Oryctolagus cuniculus: one gene and its partners. The protein of the gene in region 1 binds, or shares a complex with, the protein of each later gene. Links are inferred from orthologs where the notes say so. Each region holds a gene or a part of one and is shown in the gene's direction. Other genes may lie near its edges.

The links.
Region 2: DHX16 (region 1) and PPIL2 share a complex: the UniProt entries of both Homo sapiens proteins name them as parts of the minor spliceosome. The link is inferred for Oryctolagus cuniculus from reciprocal best matches to the Homo sapiens genes DHX16 and PPIL2.
Region 3: DHX16 (region 1) and SNRNP40 share a complex: the UniProt entries of both Homo sapiens proteins name them as parts of the minor spliceosome. The link is inferred for Oryctolagus cuniculus from reciprocal best matches to the Homo sapiens genes DHX16 and SNRNP40.
Region 4: DHX16 (region 1) and CWC27 share a complex: the UniProt entries of both Homo sapiens proteins name them as parts of the minor spliceosome. The link is inferred for Oryctolagus cuniculus from reciprocal best matches to the Homo sapiens genes DHX16 and CWC27.
Region 5: DHX16 (region 1) and RBMX2 share a complex: the UniProt entries of both Homo sapiens proteins name them as parts of the minor spliceosome. The link is inferred for Oryctolagus cuniculus from reciprocal best matches to the Homo sapiens genes DHX16 and RBMX2.
Region 6: DHX16 (region 1) and BUD13 share a complex: the UniProt entries of both Homo sapiens proteins name them as parts of the minor spliceosome. The link is inferred for Oryctolagus cuniculus from reciprocal best matches to the Homo sapiens genes DHX16 and BUD13.

Annotation. Positions count from the first base shown.
Region 1 is NC_091436.1:139,758,352-139,762,598, forward strand, and holds the start of DHX16 (pre-mRNA-splicing factor ATP-dependent RNA helicase DHX16), read left to right. Parts: upstream 1-1,447; 5' UTR 1,448-1,636; coding exon 1,637-1,843; intron 1,844-3,881; coding exon 3,882-4,129; intron 4,130-4,213; coding exon 4,214-4,247. UniProt on the Homo sapiens protein: Required for pre-mRNA splicing as a component of the spliceosome. Contributes to pre-mRNA splicing after spliceosome formation and prior to the first transesterification reaction.
Region 2 is NC_091452.1:29,116,114-29,119,613, reverse strand, and holds part of PPIL2 (RING-type E3 ubiquitin-protein ligase PPIL2), read left to right. Parts: intron 1-1,433; coding exon 1,434-1,525; intron 1,526-2,224; coding exon 2,225-2,314; intron 2,315-3,156; coding exon 3,157-3,232; intron 3,233-3,500. UniProt on the Homo sapiens protein: Has a ubiquitin-protein ligase activity acting as an E3 ubiquitin protein ligase or as an ubiquitin-ubiquitin ligase promoting elongation of ubiquitin chains on substrates.
Region 3 is NC_091438.1:141,089,577-141,093,076, forward strand, and holds part of SNRNP40 (U5 small nuclear ribonucleoprotein 40 kDa protein), read left to right. Parts: intron 1-2,847; coding exon 2,848-2,970; intron 2,971-3,500. UniProt on the Homo sapiens protein: Required for pre-mRNA splicing as component of the activated spliceosome. Component of the U5 small nuclear ribonucleoprotein (snRNP) complex and the U4/U6-U5 tri-snRNP complex, building blocks of the spliceosome.
Region 4 is NC_091445.1:85,759,123-85,763,256, forward strand, and holds the start of CWC27 (spliceosome-associated protein CWC27 homolog), read left to right. Parts: upstream 1-1,334; 5' UTR 1,335-1,777; coding exon 1,778-1,819; intron 1,820-4,134. UniProt on the Homo sapiens protein: As part of the spliceosome, plays a role in pre-mRNA splicing. Probable inactive PPIase with no peptidyl-prolyl cis-trans isomerase activity. As a component of the minor spliceosome, involved in the splicing of U12-type introns in pre-mRNAs.
Region 5 is NC_091453.1:108,064,832-108,067,816, forward strand, and holds the end of RBMX2 (RNA-binding motif protein, X-linked 2), read left to right. Parts: intron 1-224; coding exon 225-402; intron 403-921; coding exon 922-1,430; 3' UTR 1,431-2,485; downstream 2,486-2,985. UniProt on the Homo sapiens protein: Involved in pre-mRNA splicing as component of the activated spliceosome. As a component of the minor spliceosome, involved in the splicing of U12-type introns in pre-mRNAs.
Region 6 is NC_091432.1:108,711,949-108,715,448, reverse strand, and holds part of BUD13 (BUD13 homolog), read left to right. Parts: coding exon 1-101; intron 102-982; coding exon 983-1,064; intron 1,065-3,500. UniProt on the Homo sapiens protein: Involved in pre-mRNA splicing as component of the activated spliceosome. As a component of the minor spliceosome, involved in the splicing of U12-type introns in pre-mRNAs.

The DNA of each region.
Region 1 (4,247 bases):
AAGCCAGGAGCTTCTTCCGGATCTCACACACTGGTTGGGCCATCCTCTGTTGCTTTCCTGGGCACATTAGCAGAGGGCTGGGTCAGAAGTGGACCAGCTGGGGCACAAAACAGCACCCATATAGGATGTAGGCAGTGTCTTAACCCACTGTAAAATGCCAGCCCTCTCAGCTTATCTTTCTTTTTCTTTCTTTATTTTATTTATTTATTTTAAAAGCAGAGTTACAGAGAGGCAGAGTGAGAGTGAGAGAGGTCTTCCATCTGAGATTCACTCCCCAGATGGCTGCCATGGCCGAGCTGTGCTGATCTGGAGCCAGAAGCCAGGAGCTTCTTCCAAGTCTCCCACGCAGGTGCAGGGGCCCAAGGACCTGGGCCATCTTCTACTGCTTTCCCAGGCCACAGTAGAGAGCTGGATGGGAAGTGGAGCAGCCGGGACTAGAACCGGCACCCATATGGGATGCTGGTGCTTTAGGCCAGGGTGTTAACCCGCTGCGCCACAGCGCTGGCCCCAGCTTATCTTTCAATAAGCAGCCACCAGTGAATTAATCAAACTGACAGCACAAACGCTGAACACAGTTTGCCCATTTCAGATAATTTTGTCTTTTTTTTTTTAAGGAAAATTTTTTCTTTATTTGAAAGACAGTTACAAAGAGAGGGATAGACAGAGAGAGAGAGAGAGAGAGAGAGAGAGAGAGACGTATTCCATCTGCTGGTTCACTGCCCAAATGGCTGCAAGGGCCGGAGCTAAGCCAATCTGAAGCCCAGAGCTTTTTCAGGTCTCCTTTGTGGGTGCAGGGGCGCAAGGACTTGGGCTATTCTCTGCTGCTTTCCTGCATTGGGAGCTGTATCAGAAATGGAACAGCTGGGACTCAAACAGGCACCCATATGGGATACTGGTGCTTTAACCTGATGTGCCACAGCGCCGGCTGGCCCAAATTTTTTCTTGCAACAGTTTCCCCAGTTCCAACTTTCTTCCTGCTTGGAACTCCCCTTATAGCTAACCTGTATTCACTTTTGTTGCAGATACCATTTCTAGCAAAGGTCAATCCTGCTCAGCACCTGCTAATCTTTCACAGCATGAACATGATCTCATTTGAAATAAAGCCGGCAGCCCGCGTCCCCTTACCTTGAACTATTTTAGACCCGGTAGAAAATATGTACTTTTACTTATTTATTATGTGGCTTACCTCCCTTGAACTCTGAATGTAAACTCGATGTTTTGTCTGATTTACCGTCTGCAGTATCCCCAACATTTTACACCGTGCTTAAAACGCCTTTTTTTAGGCGCTCATTGAATTAATCTCCTTTGAACGAATGAATTAGCGAAGCCTCCACTGACCATCAGGGGGCGATAGAGAAATCGGGCAGGGAAGGAAAATGTGCTACCCAGAGCGAGATTTGATTCTGCGAGATTTGAACTCGCGTAGCCACCGTAGTGCTTAGGCCGGAAACGAGCATCCTCTTCCGGGCTCGGCGGAAGGCGGGTTTGGACTGTTGGAAACCGAACCCTGAGGTTCTAAAGCAGCTCCGTCGCGGGGCTAAGGCTCCGGCCCGGTGCCCCGGGCCTGCCACAGGCCCGGCCGCCGGCGCGGCTGCTCCGGACGCCTCAGCGCTGAGGACCGGGCAGGTGGGTGGCCATGGCGACGCCGGCGGGGCTGGAGCGCTGGGTTCAGGAGGAGCTGCACTCGGTGCTGGGACTGAGCGAGCGGCACGTCGCCCAGTTCCTCATTGGAACCGCGCAGCGCTGCGCCTCGGCTGAGGAGTTCGTGCAGCGCCTACGAGACACCGACACGCTGGACCTGGGCGGGCCGGCGCGGGACTTCGCTCTGAGGCTCTGGAACAAGGTGTCCGAGGGGCGGGGCAGGGGAGGGCCCCGAGTTACGCGTCCGGGGGAGGCTGGCCCGGTTGTCCATCGGGGAGATAAATAAGCTAAAGGCACAGTCATCCTTTGCCGACTGTAGGCTGGGTACTGTGCCTGGTGCCGGGCGTCCGGCTCGGTGGAGAGCATCCGGCAGGTCTTACATGGGGTGGGTTGAGTGCTGTAAAGCAATGTTCCTCCAGCTTCAACCTGCGTAGGAGTCAGCTGTGGTCCTTGTTCAAATGCCCGTGGTCCGCGGGCCGGGCTGTAAGTGGCCAGGCTCTAGAAGAGGTGGTTGGGAAACACTGCGGGAGAGCAGAAGAGGCGGCGGGGACAGTGTTCAGCAAACTCAGGCCCAAGGATCCCCGGGGATTTGTCAAGTGGAGAAGGGGGAGGGAGCGAAGGTGTGAGCGGTGAACTCCTGGAGGATCGCTGGCGTCTGTCCGGGTAGTCCTCCTGCCCAGCCGTTGTCTGTCGGACAGAGCAGGGCCCCATGTGTGCACAGAGTGGGAGTGTCCCAGAACGGTAGAGAGCCTGGTGCGGCTCCGCCTGCGGACCTGTGGCCGGTGTATCCTGCCATCTACAGGTGATGTGGTGATGTGTGACAGCCGGTGTCACATTGCGAAGTTTTGGAGTTTTTTTTTTTTTTTTTTCTTTTTTTAAGATTTATTTTATTTATTTGAAAGACAGAGTTACAGAGAGAGGTAGAGACAGAGAGGTCTTCCATCCACTGATTCACCCCCAGGTGGCCGCAATGGCTGAAGCCACACCGATCCGAAGACAGGAGCTTCTTCCAGGTCTCTCACGTGGGTGCAGGGGCCCAAGGACTTGGGCCATCTTCTACTGCTTTCCCAGGCCATAGCAGAGAGCGGGATCAGAAGAGGAGCAGCCGGGACTAGAACCGGCACCCATATGGGATGCAGGCGCTTCAGGCCAGGGCTTTAACCTGCTGCGCCACAGCGCCGGCCCCACATTGCAGAGTTAACCCTTGTAGCCTGTCAGTCCTTGTGTAGGAATGACTTAAATCCTTGGGAAAAGCAGAACTATAAGAAAGTGGCCAAGTGATTGAGAACTGGGTGTGGGGTTGTAAGCTCTGGGAGGGCAGAGATTTTTGTTCATTCTGGATCCCTAGTACCTAGCAAGTACCCGACAGGTGGGATAGACCTCATTAAACGTGTGTTAAACAAGGAGGCTGTGGTATAGGGGGTGAAGCTGCCGCCTACAGCGCCGGCATTCCATATGGTACTGGTTCGGGTCCCAACTGCTCCACTTCTGATTCAGCTCTCTGCTAATGCACCTAGGAAAGCAGTAGAGGATGGCCAAGTCTTGTGCCCCTGCACCCACTTGGGCGTCCCGGAGAAATGTCCTAGCTCCTGGCTTAGATAGGGTTGTGGCCATCTGGGGTGTGAACCAGCAGGTGGAAGACCTTTCTCTCTGCCTCTCTGTAGCTCTGTCTTTCTTTTTCTTTTCTTTTTTTTTTTTTTTTTTTTTGACAGGCAGAGTGGACAGTGAGAGAGAGAGACAGAGAGAAAGGTCTTCCTTTTGCCGTTGGTTCACCCTCCAATGGCCGCCGCGGCCGGCGCACTGCGCTGATCCGATGGCAGGAGCCAGGAGCCAGGTGCTTTTCCTGGTCTCCCATGGGGTGCAGGGCCCAAGCACCTGGGCCATCCTCCACTGCACTCCCTGGCCACAGCAGAGAGCTGGCCTGGAAGAGGGGCAACTGGGACAGAATCCGGCGCCCCGACCGGGACTAGAACCCGGTGTGCCGGCGCTGCTAGGCAGAGGATTAGCCTAGTGAGCCGCGGCGCCGGCCTGTAGCTCTTTAAAATCAATCAGTCAGTCTTTAAAAAAGTGAATGACGGAAAGGAAGTTCAGAAACTGAGGGGCTCTGTTGAGATGAGAGCAGGATGAAGTCATGGGGAGGAGAGGGAATGCTGGCTGATCTAAGATCAAGTCCTTAAGTCAGGGACAGCCAGGGGGGTGAGCAGCGGTCAGGAGTTGTTCACGCTGCTTATCCCTGACAGGTACCGCGGAAGGCGGTGGTAGAAAAGCCAACTCGGGCGGCGGAGCGAGAGGCCCGAGCCCTGCTGGAGAAGAACCGGTCTTATCAGCTGCTGGAAGACAGTGAAGAGAGCAGCGAGGAGGCCGTGGGCAGGGCTGGGAGCAGCGTCCAGAAGAGGCGCAAAAAACGGAAACACCTGCGGAGGAAGCGCCAGGAGGAGGAGGAGGAAGATGAGGAGGAAGAGGCTCCCGAGAAAGACAAGAAGGCAGGGTAGGTCAAGCAGGGCGAGGGAGGGTGGGCTGGCGGGTGAGGGGCGGACCCGTGGTTTAACCCTGAGCGGGTCTGGGGCTGCAGGGGCAGCGGGCAGCAGCCGGCCAAGCCCGAGTCA
Region 2 (3,500 bases), on another chromosome or scaffold:
CTCAGGCCAGAGTGGCCGCAAGGGGTTTCCACGCTCCTCTTCACCACGGCCCGCCCAGGCCCAGCCCCGCTCTGGGGCCCCCTGCTCTCCCCACGGACCCCCGCCATGGTCCAGACAGCCGTGTGGGGGACCCTCCAGCTTGCTGCTGCCTCGCCTGCTGACCCTGGCCTGGCTTCCCTCGCCTGCGTAGGCTGTCATCAGCGCTCACCGGGCATGTGTGCCCAGGGCTGCCTTTTCCACGGCCTGGTGCGTTACTGGCACCGGGCTCCCAGGAGCATAGGTGTGCCAGCCCCACTGCCCGCGTGGCATTGGGCGCCATGGCCAGTCGTGGAGGTCAGGGAACTCGGGCCTCTGCCCCGCTGTGATCTCACTCAGCAAAGGCTGCAGGAGGACCTGCCACAGGCAGAGAGCGACAGAGGCCCCGTCTGTGCACAGCCGAGGGAGGGGGCTTCCGTGCTGGTCGGGGAGAGAGCCAGAGAACGGTCTGGTGCTGCTTCTGCGTAGACAGGAGCGGGCGGGCTGGGGGAGATGGGACCCTTGCTGACAGGTTAGAGCGGGAGTCTGATGGGAGGGAGCCACGTGGGGGAGAGCATTCTAGGCAGGGCACCACCAGTGCAGAGGCCCTGGGGTGGGCGTGCACTTGATGACGTCTTTGCTCGGTGGGGAGTGCAGTGGGAGTTCACGGCTGAGGTCAAGGTGCAGAGCCTGGAAGGAGCCCCCAAGGGGATGGAGGGGGACAGTTGGCCCCTGTGTCTTCCGTGTTTTTGTTGGTTTTTTTTGAAAAGCAGTTTCTCTCTTTTGCTTTGCTTTGCGTTCCGAGAGCAGTGCCTGTCTCCGTCTCAGCCCTAGCTCCTCTCCGTTCTCGGCCCACCGAGATGAAGCAGATCCCAGCCCCAGCATCATTCCCTACTTACGTGCGGCCCAGCGGGCGCCTCTGTCATCCCTGGAACGGGGCCCGGGGCTGCCAGGGCTCAGATCGCTGGGATGCGCTCCTAACTCTTCCTCCATAGTTTTCAAATCAGCCTTTGAGGCCAGACCACTGTGGCCTGTGTCCTAAGCCTCTTAACCTCTGAGTCCTGGGATTGACTTGGCGGAGACCGATGGTCGCTGGCTGCAGTGACCCGGGCAGGGGCCAGGCCGGGTGTGCAGGCAGAGCTGACGGGGCGGCTGGAGGGTGTGCTTGGGGAGGGCCTACTGGGGCTGTCTGTGGCGCAGTGGTCACCAGAGGTGGGCTGGGGGAAGGGGCAGCGCAGAGGTCATGTCTTGCAGGATGAATAGGAGTTTCCAGGCGGCATTGGTGGGCCTGAGCAGCTGCTGTCTCCCACCCCCGCCTCCCCGGTGCCTGCTCTGGGCGGTCCCTGGCAGTTGTCGCTTGGGATGGCGGGGGCCGGCGCGGTGATGGGCCTCCCTCCCGGCGTGTGCCTATCCCCCAGGGAAGTACCACTGCCCGGTGCTGTTTACCGTGTTCACCAACAACACCCACATCGTGGCTGTCAGGACCACGGGCAACGTCTACGCCTACGAGGTGCGTCCTCGCCGCAGTGGGCTGGGGGTGGTGGTGAGCCAGGTGCTTGGGCCTGCTCAGTATCAGCCCAGAGACTGGGGTGCCTCCCGTGGCCTCCGCACCTGAAATCCAGGCACTGCTGCCTGCTGGGCTGGGGCCCGTGGGACCCCAGAGGGTCCTCCCACGCCTAAGACCAGGCTGTCCTTGGGCCAGCCCCCAGGGCTGCATGGGGAGCAGGCCAGGCCAGGTGCTGTCCCCTGGAGGGAGCTGTGCAGAGGCGCTGGTGAGGAGCTCCGGCCAAAGTGGCTGTTGGGAGAGTAGGCGGCCGCTGAGGCTGGGAGCAGCCCCACCTGCAGGAAGGCCCCTGGCTTTGCCGCCTCTCCTCCCAAGCTTGGGCCCTTGCGGGTTGTTGGCCAGCATTGCCCCAGGCTCTGGGGGCCGCTTCTTGCCTGGAGCACACAGATTGGCCTGGCTCTTCCTGGCCGGCTGAGGGAGGTGATGCCAGGGCAGGCACGTGTTGGGGGGAGGGCTCACTGAGCCTGTTTGCTGTCTGTAAGTCGTCCCCCAGCTGGTTCTGGTCGCTGTCTGGGAGCCCCACCCTTCACGGCAGGGCCGGCCCCAAGCCTGTGAGGTCTGTGCCGTTGGCTCTGGCCAGTTCTCTTCCCCAGATGGTGTGGCGGCCTAGGGCGGGCCCCTGACGCCAGCTCCCTCCTCCTGCAGGCTGTGGAGCAGCTGAACATCAAGGCCAAGAACTTCCGGGACCTGCTGACCGACGAGCCCTTCTCCCGGCAGGACATCATCACCCTGCAGGTGGGTGCACCCCGCCCAGCTGGGTGGTCTCCGGAAGCCACCCTCAGTGTCCCCAGCCGCCCCCTCCCACCTCTGTCACACTGGCCTCGGCTCAGCTGCCTCCTCATTCTGCCTCTCTCGCTGCCTTGGGTCAGGGCCCCTGACTCGGCGGCTGCCACCTCTAGGCAGGGGCTGCAGTGCACGGTGCCTGGGCATGTGGCACAGGTGTCCCTGTCCCGAGTGACATGCTCTGAAGAGCTGGGGTTTTGGCCCAGCTGATAATAATAATAATAATAATATAATATATAATATATATTATATAATAATTATTAATAATAATAATAATGACTAATAAGCCGCTTGGGACGCCCACGTCCTGTGTCAGAGCTCTTAGTCCAGGGCAGGGCCCCCCTCCATCCAGCTTCCTGCAAATGCGCACCCTGGGAGGTGGCAGGTGATGGTCCACATGGGAGACCCGGATAGAGCTCCTGGCTCCCGGCTTTGGCCTGGCCTGACCAGCCCAGGGCACTGCTGTCACCTGGGGAGTCAGCCAGCAGGGGGGAGCTCTCTCTCCGCCTGTGCTGTTTCTCGCCACCTCTGCCTTTCCGATAGAATAAACCAGAGAAAGAAAAGCAGGTGCCGATGGGGTGGACCTGAGGCTCGGGCCAACGTGGCTGCCCGCACAGCGAGCATTGCTCCTTAGCCAGGTGTCCCGGAGGGAGGGGACGTGGTGTGGCAAATGGGCGGCCCCACCTGCCTCATGCCCCTTCCTGGTTAGAGGTCCCGGGCCTCAGGGCAGCCGGTGGCCGGGTGCCGTGCCCAGCCCTGTGCTCGCTCTGCTGAGTGCTCTCGCTCTGCCGCAGGACCCCACCAATCTGGACAAGTTCAACGTCTCCAACTTCTTCCACGTCAAGAATAACATAAAGATAGTAGACCCAGGTATGGCCCGGCAGGCGCCAGCCTGGGAGAGGGGTTTGGGTGCGAGCAGGGTGGTGCTCCCGGAGCCGAGGGAGGCCCCTAATTGCCTGTGAAGACTGCGGCAGGGCTGCGGCTGAGCCTCCGCACCTGCCGGCGTCTGCCACTTCCCACCCCTGTGCCCCGCGCCCCGCGCCCCGCTGGGCTCCTGTGGGCTGCTGCTCTGTCCCGGGGTCCCCCTGCTCCCGGGGCGTCTGCCCGTGCACGTTGTTGGGGGAGGGGCCCTGGAGGA
Region 3 (3,500 bases), on another chromosome or scaffold:
CAGCACGGTGCGCCGGCCGCGGCGGCCATTGGAGGGTGAACCAACGGCAAAGGAAGACCTTTCTCTCTGTCTCTCTCTCTCACTGTCCACTCTGCCTGTCAAAAAAACAAAACAAAACAAACCACTATGCCCCAACACCAGAGCCATTGTAGTTGTCATTGTTGGTTTGTTTTGCGACTTTTTTTTTTTTTTTTAAGATTTATTTATTTTTTGAGAGGCAGAGTTCCTCATAGAGAAAAGAAGAGACAGAGGTCTTCCATCCACTGGTTAACTCCCCGAATGGCCAAAAGGGCTAGAACTGGGCCCAGCTGAAGTCAGGAGCCAATAGCTTCTTCCGGGTTGCCCACATGGGTGCAGGGACCCATATGGGACACCAGCTCCTCAGGCAAAGGCTTAACCTTCTATGCCACAGTGTTGGCCCCAGTTTAGTGACTTTTTAAACTAGTTTTGTGAAGACTGTGTTGTTTGTCCTGCATAACTACTGAAGTCTTGTTCCATTATTTTAGTTATCAACTAGTGATTCTTTTATCACCTAGAACAAGTAAAAAAAACTCTCCCAGTCTTTGTAGATTGGCTCTGCATGTATGCTTAGAGCCATTTCATAGAGGAGAAAACTAAGTCACATGGAGTACACTTTTCCAGGTTACTAAGTGACAAAGCTAGGATTCCTGTCTAAGTAATTTAGGTCTGAGTCTCCACTCTGCAGTAAGATAAATCAAGACATGCAATAAAAATTTTAGCTGCAGGGTTTCAAGACAAACCCAGATCCCCGGCAGACCGTTTTACACAACATAAACCTCCAGGGGGCATTATTACCAGCAGTGTGCAAGTGTGCCATTTATTTATTTATTTGAGAGGCAAAGTTACAGAGTGAGGAAAAGACAGAAAGTCTTCCAACCACTGGTTCACTCCCCAAATGGCGCAGTGGCCAGAACTGGGCAGATCCGAAGCCAGGAGTCAGGAGCTTCTTCCGGGTCTGCCACACGGATGCAGGAGCCCAAGCACTTGGGTCCTCTTCCACTGCTTTCCCAGACCATAGCAGAGAGCTGGATTGGAAGAAAAAGAGAGGCTGGGACTCGAACCAGTGCTCATATGGGATGCTGGCATTGCAGGTGGGGACTTAATCCACTGCGTCACAATATCGGCCCCCAATAACATAACTTTTAAAAATCTATATAAAAATATTTTGTTCTGCCTCTCGTTAACAGTTCTCAATTTCCTCTCTGAGCTAGAACTGTATCTTAGTGTTTTTTCCTTCATGATGAGACAGAGAGGTGAGCCAACAAACATTTACTGAATGATTTAATAAAATTACTGTTTAGGGGGCCAGAGTTGTGACAGTGATATCTCATTTTGGAGTGCTGTTTTGAGTCCCAGGTGCTCTATTTTAGATCCACCTCCCTGCTAATGCGCCTGGGAAAGCCGCTGAAGATGGCCCAAGTATTTGGGCTCCTGTGACCAATGTGCGAGACCTGGATGGAGTTCTGAACTCCTAGCTTTGACCCAGACCAGTCCCAGCTGCTATGGTCATTTGAGAAGTGAACCAGCAGATAGAAGATCTCTCTGTTTCTCACCATTTTTGTAACTCTGTCTTTCAAATAATTAAATAGATCTTTTAAAAAATTACTGTTTGGATAGGAGAGGATACTAACTGACTTTAATTATAACTAACAGTAAACCATCTACTATGAATGTAGTTATGAAATTATGACTAGAACTAAACATGAAAACGTTTAGTTTTTTTTTTTTTTTTTTTTTTTTTCTATTTTGAAAGACAGTTACATAGAAAGGTAGGGATACAAAGAGAGAGCGGTCTGGCCAGCGCCGGGGCTCACAAGGCTAATCCTCCGCCTGCGGCCCTGGCACCCCAGGTTCTAGTCCCGGTTGGGGCGCCAACTTCTGTCCTGGTTGCTCCTCTTACAGTCCAGCTCTCTGCTGTGGCCCGGGAAGGCAGTGGAGGATGGCCCATGTGCTTGGGTCCCTGTACCCGCATGGGAGACCGGGAAGAAGCACCTGGCTCCTGGCTTCAGATCAGCACAGCGCCGGCCATAGCGGCCATTTGGGGAATGAGCCAACAGAAGGAAGACCTTCTTCTCTGTCTCTCTCTCACTGTCTATAACTCTACCTGTCAAATTAAAAATAAATAAATAAATAAAATCTTTGAAAAACAAAACAAGGTAGGGTCAGAGCTGTGATGCAGTGGGTTAAGCCACCACCTGTGACACCAGCATCCCATATGAGAACCAGTTCAAGTCTTGGCTGCTCAGCTTCCAATCCAGTCCCAGCTAATGTGCCTGGGAAAGCAGCACAAGATGAGCCAAATGCTTTGCCCCTGCCACCTATGTGAGACACCCAGATAGAGTTCCTGGCTCCTAGCTTCTGCCTGTACTAGCTTCAGCCATTTTGGGGAGTAAACAAGTAAATGGAAGATCTCTCACTCTCCCTTGCTCTCCTTTCTCACTGTAACTCTGCCTTTCAAATAGTAAATATGTGGGTTTTTTTTTTTTTTTTTTTTTTTTTTTTTTAGGCAGTGGTCTAATATCTTTCTCCTAAAGAATATACGAAGTAAACTTATAGAGGACTTCTTCCAAGGGCATGTTGATTAACAGTATTTTATTCTAACTTTATTACCAAAGGAGTCTGAAAATATAACCAAAATAGTTTATTCCACCAGCCTTCAAATAATTTGGCAAAATTGTGATCATTTTTTACCATGTGTTGCTAGGACATCCAAGAAAGTTTCTGAATGAGGTTCTTGTTCTAGATGTGTTCATGTCTACCAAGTATGTTGTGCAGTTACTTCTCAAGGAGATGTTACTGATAGACTGTCCTATTCCTCTGCTTTAGCTTTGGGATATCCGGAAGAAAGCAGCCATCCAGACATTTCAGAACACATACCAAGTGTTAGCTGTGACCTTCAATGACACAAGTGATCAGATTATTTCTGGTGGAATAGACAATGATATCAAGGTATGTGATGTTCGTGTTGTATTTCACTTTGACCTGCATCCACTTACAGAAGCAAATCTTTGAAGACTTTTGGGATTGTGGTAGCTTTGTGCTTAATACCAACTAAAATTACAATAATAACTTAGAACTTTCTTTCTCTTCGGTCCTCATTGTCTTCCTCAATCAAAGGTTTCATTGCAGCCCATATAAATGCTGTCAGGGACCAGGCGGTTCATGTGCCGCATGCATCCCCTGGGTGGAGGACTAGTGGAAGGACGGGTGTCCTCCACTCTTGCTGTGTTTTTCTTTTTGACACTATTTAAATTAAGTTTTCTAAGCTTCTAGTAAGAATGAGAGAAAGTAATACTTTTGGAGAAGGAGGCAGTGGGCCGTGTGGCAGTACAGTGTAGCTTAAACCTTCAACTAATTTGACTTGGGTTCTAATCCCACTTCTGCTGTTTTCTAGTTTTGTGATTTCAAATGGGTTCTTTAACTTGTTCACTTTAAGCTTATGTTTTCTCACATGAAGAGTGAAGGTGATAATAATAACA
Region 4 (4,134 bases), on another chromosome or scaffold:
TAGGCTTCTCCTTAAACACCACATCCTCTGGAAATTCCTTTTGGCCTTCCCTGTACCCTGTTTGGTGGCCTCTCCACGTGTTTCCTAAGGCCTTGATTTTAATTTGTCACAGCACTGTTCCCACCTTCTGTACATTTCTCTCTCTTGTAAGTTGTGTGAAGAGCAGCTCTCTTTGTTTACCACTGAATTCCCAGTGCTTAGCCGAGAATCTGGCGTGCAGTAGGCACTTAATAGCGCCCGTTTCCTCTCTCACAACTCCGGAAGTGCTCGCCCCCAAACTGCAGTTGGTAGAGAAGCACTTGCAATCCCCCAAGAGCTGTCTTTAGAATAAGGTTCAGAAAAGGCAGCCGCACAACAACGAATGAGGTCAAATAATGGGCGGGAAGCGCAGGTTTAAATAAGTTGGGGTTCTGAGTCCGAGGACTGTGCAAAATCTTTTTGCACTGTGAATCTGCTGCAGAGCACCTGGGTAAGGCCGATTGACGGCGAAGCCGGTCCTTGCTAGAACCTCCAACAAGCGGGTAGGTGCGGAGCAGGGCATCTCACAAGCACTTCCTCCCCAGGGCCTACCGTCTGGGGCTCAGTGACCTCTGGACACAGAGCTGAGAGCTAGAAGGAACCTCAGATCCAACAGCGCTACTTCTTTGCAGTTAAGGAAACTGAGGCCGAGAAAGTCCAGGCCTGAAGTCTCAGGCCACACAGCAGCGGCGTGCAACCGAGTAGAACCCCGCACGCCCGCCCGCTTCATCCCAGTGCCAGCAATGCCTCTGGCTACCCGGACCCTCCAGGAGCTCCCACTCCCGATTTCACTTTAAGCCATACCGAAGTCGAGGCAGGGTTTTCTCGGGCGCCCGCCAGCTGGGGCCTACAGTTAGTCACTGCCCTTCCTTCTTCCCTCCCGTCCACAACACACTTCCCCTGTCATCCCGGGCGACTGGGGCTCGGCTAGGGGACGAGGAGGTTTCCTGCCTTCGGAGCTGTCGTGTAAACTTTCCCGGGTGAGCCAGCCAGACCGGTTCATTTCAGGGCCGCCAGCTAAAGGCCCTCTGCTCTCCTCCCCAGCTCACCGCCCTCTACCCTGCCCCACCGCTCCCTTCCTGCTCGGACGCACGCGTCCTCCTGTTAGGCTTCACCTGGGACTGCCATGACGCTGGTATAAAGGGTCGCCGGAGCCTTCAGCTGTCGAGAAAGCGTCTGCTTCCCGCCCGCTGCGGGGACAAAGTTCAGCAAAAGCGGCCGCCTCTCACTCGCTCCGAGGCACCTTCGCGACAGGCAGGGAAGGCCCTATAAGCCTCTAGCGATAGCGGAACCAAGAAGCTGCGGATGCAGTTTCCGGGCGAGTCATAGTGCATACTCCACCTGGTCTGAACCATTGCGGCTAGCTTTTGGGGGGGTGAGTGTGACTTGCACACGATTATGGTGCAACAGACACTATCAAGATTTACGGAGAGTTCCTTTTAATAGTGATACAACAATTTACAATTTATATCAAGCCAGTGAAGCTTTAGGATATTTTTATCATTCCGTTGACGATATCGGACTTCCCTTTCTCTGAGTTAGCGGTGGTCTGGTCTAGGAGGAACATGGCGGCGTCCGTGAGAGGCTAGTTTTGGGTGAAAGTAGTGCTTGGTGCTAATTGTCTTGCGTGATACTGACCAACTGAAGCTTTCCCAGGCCATCTAACTTAAGGAAGCGTGTAATGAAAAAAGAACAGCTTTAGGAACCAGCCGTCCGCTCGCATCCCCAGTAAAGAACAGAGCCCTGAGCACTGACCAGCATGAGCAACATCTACATCCAGGAGCCTCCCACGAACGGGAAGGTGAGCATCTTACCTGGTATTATCACCTGGTCTCCCTAAACTGAGACCTCCCAGGTTCGGTGAGTCCAAGGACCTTCCGGTTGGCAGAAACCACGAGATGTGTTGTCCACGGACAGTGTTGCGTAGAGAACACCGAAGTTGTCACTTCTCAGCATGCACTTGGAAAAAATGCTTAACTGGAGGTTTCTCTAACAGCCTCTGACCTTATTTCTTGTGTTAACCCAACTCAGGCTGGGGTTTTCCAGGATCTTAGGTTTGCTAAAGTACATTTTTTAGTGTGACATATTCTTTGTTTGACTTGGACAGCGTTAATTCTCCGTTCTTTGTACGCCTTGCCTGTTAGGCGCCAGGCACTGTACTCGGTACTGGTAATAGAAAGATGGACGAGGGCTAGTTGTTGCCCAGGAAAAGCTTATAATTTAGGTTGAGGGACAAGAAGGTAAAGAAAAACTTTATGCTGTGTCTGTTTGTGGAGAGGAGAGGTAGGTCTGTTTGTGGAGAGGAGAGCATATTGTCATGGCAATGCTGAAGAGTGAGCAACTAAGAAAGTTTTGAAAAACCTTGTAGACAAAGTATCTTTTGAGCTGGTCTTATAATGTGAGATACTGTCAGACAGAGTGGAGAATGGGAGATGTTACCACATTAGAATGGGAGAATGATTCTCTAGTTTGGTGGTCAAGATAGGGAAATCCCCATCCAAGGTATTTGTGTACAGTATGAGACAGAGGAGTTAATCCTGGGATAACTGTCTTCTGAATTCTTGAACTGAGACCTAGTCCATATCACATATGGAATGTGATGAACTAAATAAATGGTGGGATTGAAACTATATAATTGAATTAGGATAAATAAATTTACATAAAATATGATTCTGTTGCATGCTTGTATCAAATTATTTATACAATCTTTTTTTCCCTGACATTTGGTAAGGTGAATTTTAGTGGGCATTTTGGGCAGAATTAGTCTTGCAGTTCCTTGCTGTTTGAACTTTCCCAGGCATTGTAGCTTAGCATCCCCATCCCACTCGCCACCTTCATCCACTTTCCCACCCTTTCTCTACCTCAGTGTGAAAACCCCAACTACCTACCTTCTCATATTTTCAAATGTTTCTTGAATGCACTGTCGCTCTCAGTTGATAAACACTGGTAAGGATCCAGTAGGTTGCTCATCTGGTTTGCTGTTTTACCTCTTACGTATGTCATCCTTGGTAAGGTAGTCTTTCTCCTTTTCTGTGAAATAGCAGATCTCAGCCATGCCCTGCATCCCATCATTTTCTGACTCCCTTAATGTCTAGGTTTTTTCCTATAGTATTTATTATGTATTTATTTATTATATCCTCCCCACTGCTCTCCCCCCATAGCCTGTAAAAACCATGAGGGTGGAGTCAAGCATCTAAAATAGTGTTTGACACATGGTAGAAGGAGTTCAAGTATTTGCTGGCTGGCTGGATGAATTAATGCTGGTGTTTCTCTTAGCTTCTGAGATGTATTAAGCATCAGTGAGTTGGAGTTTATACTGCTGCTAGTCGAGCCAGACTTGGTTGCTTTATTCTAGAGAAAAGTTTGACAAGATCATGTAGATGAAAAGCTTTCGCAAGGATACATTCCGGAGTAGGAGATCATTCATTCTATGCATATTTATCAAGCACCTAGCTCTTGCCAGGCTCTCTGCTATGTTTTCAAGATACAGTGGAAAGAAAAACAGCAACATCCTCATTTTTTGGAATCACTTGAATGAAATAATCAGGCAAATAAATATGTAATTACAAGTTGTGATGAATGTTGTTTTTCTTCTGAATGGAAAAGGGCTGATGGAGAACATGAAACAGCCCAAGGCCTCCTCCAAAACCGGTTTGAGACTTCTTCCAGCGTAAGGCTGATTTAAGACATTGCAGCTTCAAAGTTCTGTACTGCAAAAAGCATGGCAAGAGTTTTGGCCTGGAAATAATTTAAAGCAGCTATAATAACAAGTCTGCTGAATGAATGTTTGCTTAATTATTTACTGTTTAGTGGTATGTAGTTTCTGAAAGGATGCATAGATATTTGGAATCATTAGAACAAAAGTCTTCCCTTCTAAAAGTATGGTATCATTTTGGGAAATAACTGACACACGACATCAGTGGTGGTCCATATGTATTCACTGTGTTATGCTGTGGTCCTGACTCCTGAAGACTACGCATAGAAATATAGTACTAGCTGGAACTTTTCATAAGCATTAAAAAAACTCACTGAAGATAAAATTTCCATATACTATTATCACTTAATCTAAATTAAGTGTAATGTATGTATTCTTAAGAAGCATGATATTTTGGAAGT
Region 5 (2,985 bases), on another chromosome or scaffold:
GAGAACGCTAGTACAACTGTCCCGGGCCCAGCTGGCTGCCGCTGCCCTAAAGGCTGAATGGGTTACCATCTAGGCACACCTGCAGTGATTCAGACTGGTTGAGTGGGTCTGCTGTGGCGGTTTGCGCCGTAATAGAATTAGAGAGAGGGTAATAGATGGCGTTCAAACAGCTGGACAGTTTGAAATGAAGCCTGCCTTTTTGAGACGCTGCCTGTTTTTCTTAGATCAAAGGAAGAACTATCCGGGTAGATCATGTGGCTAATTATCGGGTTCCTAAAGTCTCAGAAGACATGGACGATGTGACCAGAGAGCTCCAGGCGATGGGCTGTGGTGTTAATACCCCCTCACCGAGTTCATCTGAGGATTCTGAAGAAGAGAAACCCATAAAAAAGCACAAAAAAGGTAAAACATTCAAACCCAAGAGAAACTTGGCAGTCTTAGCATCTGTTCCTCCTAGAGTTCATTGATGGTTGATAATCGGGTCATAAGTATGCGAAGGAGAGGTGGGGGGACCTTATTTTAATTGGGGAAGGGGAGGTGTCAGCAGAAGACTCCTGTTCTGGGTTGAATTGTGTTCCCCAGAATCGACACGTTGAACTCCTCACCCCTAGTCCACTGTGACTGCATCTGGACATGTGGTTTTCAGAGAGAGACTGGAGTGGGAATGGCCGTGCCCAGCAACTTGACGTTGCGGGTGACAGACATCGAAGTTGCTTCCCCGCAGCACTTTCCCAGAAGCACAGGGTGACGGCTTCACGCTGCTGCCCAGCCTATTTTCCTTGCCCATGGGCTCCCCTCCCGGCAGGCAGGCATTGGTAAACTGGTCTACCTTTGCTGGATGTCACGTACACGGAGAGGAAAGACATGGCTTTAGGGAGTTCTATTTCCCTTTTGTTACCGATTGTCGCCCTTCTTCTCCAGACAAAATGGAAAAAAAGAAAAGACGGAAAGAGAAAGAGAAAGAGAAGAGTGACCGGACAGTACTGGTCGAGCAACCATCTCCCTCTTCCTTGCCCAGAAGCAAGACAATAAAGGAAAAGGATGAGCCTGGCCCTAAGACAAGCAGCACCAAGGGCTCCGAGAAGGTGCCGAAGTCGGAGTCCAGGGAAGCACGGAAGCACTACCCTGTCTCCCCTGAGGTCAGAACTGTCCCCCGCGGTGGAGTTGAGGACCTGGCCAGGGAGCTGAAGAAGGAGAAATCCAAGCATGAGCACAGGTCCTCCGACAGGAGAGAGGCCAGAGAAGAAAGGAACAGGGATAGGGACAAAGGACGAAGCTCAGACGCGTGTTCTAGCTGGCACAATGGGCATTCGGATGGGTGGAGCCATCGGAGTAGAAGTCGGAGCCGAGATCGATCTCACAGACAGAAGAAGTCCCGTAGCTCCCGGGAGCGGGAGTCCTCAAATCTCAGTGAGCGTAGGCGTCACTGAAGCCAGTTCAGCCGCTCGGTAGATCTGGAAATGAAATGTGTTTCTAAAATGCAGTCAGATTCAGCTACGCCATTACTTCTCCATATGAAATCTCTAGAGCTGATTTTTAAAAAATCCCTTGAGTAGTGGAGTCCTTGAGAAGGCTGTGGTTTCATTGGCAGATACCCTGCATTTTCTAGTACAATCCATCATCCCTGGAAATATACTTGGAACTTAACAGAGAACGTGTCCTGAATTTTCGTTCATAAATTGGCCATGGGGCCCATAGCCCCCCCAGCTTGAGATGAAATTGCCAGAAAAGGAAAATTACAGACAATTCTAGAGGCCTAGTCTTTGTCTTCAATGTTGAGAACCCAGCATTCTAAGACTTCCAGTTAGCAGGTAGAACTGCAGTGAAGTGTGGTTTAACTAGGTTCAGACAGCTGGAGGTGAATGTGATGGGATTCTTTTTTTTTTAAGTATTAATTTTATTTATTTGAAAGGCAGTGTTACAGAGGAAGGGAGGGAGAGACACAGAGATCTTCCATCTGCTGGTTTACTCCCCAAATGGCCACAACAGCCAGGGCTGGGCCAGGCTGAAGCCAGGAGCCAGGGACTCCATCCAGGTCTCCCACATGGGTTTGGGGACCCAAGTACTCAGGCTATCTTTCACTGCTTTGCTGGGCGCATTTAGCAGAGAACTGGATCGGAAGTGAAGCAGCTGCAGCTCAAAACTGTTGCTCATCTGAGATGCCAGCATCACAGGAGCCAGCTTACCACTGCACTACAACGCCAGTGCCTGATGGGATTCTTAAGAACAACCAGCTCCCTCTCTAAACCCTGTTTGAAAACAGCTTTAAATGTCTTGTCTTTTTCTTTTTTTGGTTGAGATATTTTTCCACATACTTTTTTCCCTTGGAATTCTTTGTATTGATGTGAAATGCAGATAACATAAAGTTAACCAATTCAAAGCAATTCAGTGGCACTTATATTCACCATGTTGTGCAAACACCACCTGTGTCTAGTTTTGAAGCATTCACATTGTCCCCAAATAAAACCTAATACCTATTAAGCAATAACGTGCCATTACCCCTATCCTCCCTGTCCCTGGAAGCCACCCATCTGCTTTCTGTGTCTATGGATTTGCCTGTTTGGGATGCTCCACAGAGCAGGAATCACACAGCAGTGGCGTTTTGTGTCTGGCTTCCTTCACTAAGCATAATGTTTTCTAGGTTCATCCATGTTATAGCATGTATCAGTACTGCACTCTGTTTTAAGGCTCAATAATATCCTGTTGAGAGACCACGCTTTGTTTCTCCATTCCTTGGGACGGACGTTAGGATTGTTTCTACCTTTGGTTAGTCAGCTTCCTGTTTTGTGTGCAGACACGCCAGGCGACCTTCTGTGCTTGGTTTGCTTTTCACGTAGCCGCTCTTGCTCAGGTGGGAACACTGGTAGCTCCATCGCACACCTTTGGTCTGATTGGTAGTTCCTTCTCATTTTGAATCTTAGTTTCTATTATAGCACTCAGCCCCTTATGAATTTGGCAGGAACTGGTTCACAGGCCCTGCTGCAG
Region 6 (3,500 bases), on another chromosome or scaffold:
TGAAGATCTGGATCGGATGCTGAGAGAACAAGAAAGAGAAGGAGACCCCATGGCCAACTTCATCAAGAAGAGTAAGGCCAAGGAGAGCAAGAATAAGAAAGGTGAGACTTCCGGCAGTCACCAGAAGTGACTAGAGGGGATTTATGTGAAGAAAGACAGTTATTAGGGTACTAATACACAGCTATGTGCAAAGAAGGCTTTCCCATTCACTTTTTTTTTTTTTTTTAAAGCAGTTTGTCTCTAAAGTTGAGATTTGAACAACTTTGGTTTTTTGTTTGTGTTTTAAGATTTATTTATTTATTTGAAAGAAAGAGTTACAGAGAGAGGGAGAGACAGAGAGAGAGAAATCTTCTATCTGCTGGTTCACTCCCCAAATGGCCAACGGCCAGAGCTGGGCCAGTCTGAAGCCAGGAGCCAGGAGCTTTTTCTAGGTCTCCCGTGTAGGTACAAGGGCCCAATTATTAGGGCCTTCCTCTGCTGCTTTCCCAGGTGCATTAGCAAGGAGATGGTTTGGAAGTAGAGCAGCCGGGACTCAAACTGGTGTCCATATGGGATGCTGGCATTGCAACGATGGCTTTTCTGGCTACACCACCAGCCCCTCTCATACACTTTTAAATTCCTTGTATTTATAAAGTTAGGTTCAACTTGAGACTTTTTTTGAAAGGCAGATGTGCAGGGGAGAGACAGAGATCCATCTTCCATCTGCTGGTTCACTCCCCAAGAGGCCCCAATGGCCAGGGCTGGGCCAGGTGGAAGCTGAGAGCCTGGAACTCCATCCGATCTTCCATGTGGGTGGGAGGGGCCCGAGTAAATGAGCCATCTTCCACTGTTTTCCTAGGCATATTAATAGGGAGCTCCATTGGATGCAGAGCAGCCAGGACTCAAACCAGTGCTCACATGCGATGCCAGCATTGCGGGTGGCGGCTTGACCCACTGCACTACAATGCAGAAACTATTTTTTTTTTTTCATTCCTCTCATTAGTGCGACCTCGCTACAATGGCCCAGCACCTCCTCCCAACAGATTCAATATCTGGCCTGGATATCGCTGGGATGGAGTGGACAGGTAATCATGATTATTTCCTACATTTTCATTTTCTCTTCTGTCTGACCTTAATCTTTCCTCACTGTTTTTAAATCACTCTATACTCTGCCTCATTCTCTGCTGTAATCACAAGGTGAATAATACACATTTTGCTTGCTTCTAGTTCTGAGGTTCACAAATCCTATTTCCCATACTTGGAACACTCCCCTCCCTCCTGTTTCTTTTTCAGAATTGACGTGGTCAAGGTAGGGCATCTTTTGTCTTGGACATTGGCCTTTTAATGATATTTTCTAAGGTTTAGAGGGAATGAGTTATGGATTGTGGTCTGTATCTTTAAAATGTAGTCCCTGAACCTTCATTTCCTTCACTCTCTGAGCAGTGAGCTGCTTGTAATGTTTCACAGACTCTCATCTATTCAACCACCAGCATCTGTTTCCATGTACTCTAACTTCTTGTCTGTTATGATGTATGAGCTGTATTTTCTCCTACTCCAAGTCAGTCCTTCTACTTACTTATTAGATCCCATCTCCTCTTGCCTGCTAAAGAACATTCTAGTATCTAACACAGTGATTCTCAAAATTTTTAATCTCATGACCCCTTTACACTCTTAAAAATTATTTAGGATTCCCAAAAGCTTTTATTTATTTACATAGATTATATTAATATTTGCCATATTAGAGATTAAAACTGAGACATTTAATTATATTTATTCTAAAAATATTAATTAAATATTAATTTAGAATATACTATTCTTATTTTAATTTATTCTAAAAAAGTAAAGCTGTTACGTGTTAAAATAATTGCCATATTACTTTTATAAAAAATAGCTATATTTTTCAAATTAAAAAAGTACTGACAAGGATAGTGTTGATCTATGCTTTTGCAAGTCTCATTAATGTCTGACTTCAGCAGCTGGGGTCTGCATTTGTCTGTTGTGAAATGTTGTTTAGCTAAAGAAAAGTCAGCCTTGCACATAGGCTAGGTGGAGAAGGGAACACATATTATATTCACTGATACTGTACAACATCTCAAGTAAGTGCCAGTTTCTTGAAGGTTACTTAGTGGGATCTGAAACCATATCAGGGAACTTTTCATACTGTTGCATAAAAATCCATTTATCTTTTTCCTAGTTTGAGTGAATCTTTGACTTCAGTTCATTTTTGTTGTTATTTCTAGACTCTTGTTCTAATTTTTTGTCTACTTACTTATTTAATTTGAAAGGCAGAGAGACAGACAGATGGATTTCCTATGTGCTGTGTCATGTCTCAAGTGCTTGTTTTAGCCAAGGCTGGGCCAGTTGAAAGCCAGGAGCCAGAATTCAATGTAGATCTCCCACATGGGTGGTAGGAATCTAACCACTTGAGCCATCACCTGCTACCTCCCAGGGTTTGCATTAGCAGGAAGCTGGAATCTGGAGTGGAGCTGGGACTCAAACCCAGACTGTGGTAAGGGATGCTGGCATTCCAAGTAGCATCTTAATCAGTACATCAGATGCCTGCCCCCATACGTGATTTTATAACATCACTCATTGATCATTTGCAAAATACTGGTTTGCTGAGTTTTTCAGCTCTTCCAAATGCTGACATGTTTTCATTATACAGTTATACTTTCGCTAGTCTTACCTTACTGCAAGTCTCTTTAAATATGGGAAGCTAAAGAATTATGGTGACAATTTTTCAAAATTCTAATTTACACTTAAAAGCTTGAATTTTTCCATTGGTAACAAATATTGTCAGTTTTTCAGCTCATCTTGTACAATAGCTTTTTTTGTAAACTCCATCAGATTTTGTATCTAGAAGATCATGCTGTTTTTGAATACAGACCGTTTTGCTGCTTCTTTCCATTCTGAATGCCTTTTGTTTCTTTTCCTGTGTGTGGCATTAGGTAGCCTTTCCAGTACAGATGCTGGCTAGGAGTAGGAAGAGCTTTATTCCTGATCTTAGGAGAACGTGGTCTTCTACCATTAAAAATGGCTTTGTAAATTATGTTTTTTGTCAGTAAACCTTACTAAGTTGAGGAAGCTCCCTTCTATTCTTAGTTTACTGAGAGTTTTTTCATGTATTATGGATTTTTAAAATATTTCTTCTTGGATCTCTGATCCATGGATTATTTAGAAGTGCATTGTGAAATTCCAAACATAGTGATTTCACGAGATATCTCACTGTTATTAACTTTTTTTTTTTGCTTTTAATTTGTATTTGTTTTATGCTGAATTTATTCCCAGCCCGTAAGTTTTTGTTTCTTCAGCTTTTTGTAGGATATCTTTTCCTTCTGTGCCACCTTCTCTTCTGGTGTAGGAGTAATTTATCTCTCGTCAGTGAGGATCATCTCTGTGTCAGGCGGAGCCCATGTGCGGGTTAATGCACACATGCACAGCGATGTGTCTTGGGGGCTGTGTTCAGTGACCAGAGACTCTGCATCCAGATCCTCAGTTCAGCACGCTGTGTCTTTAAGCAC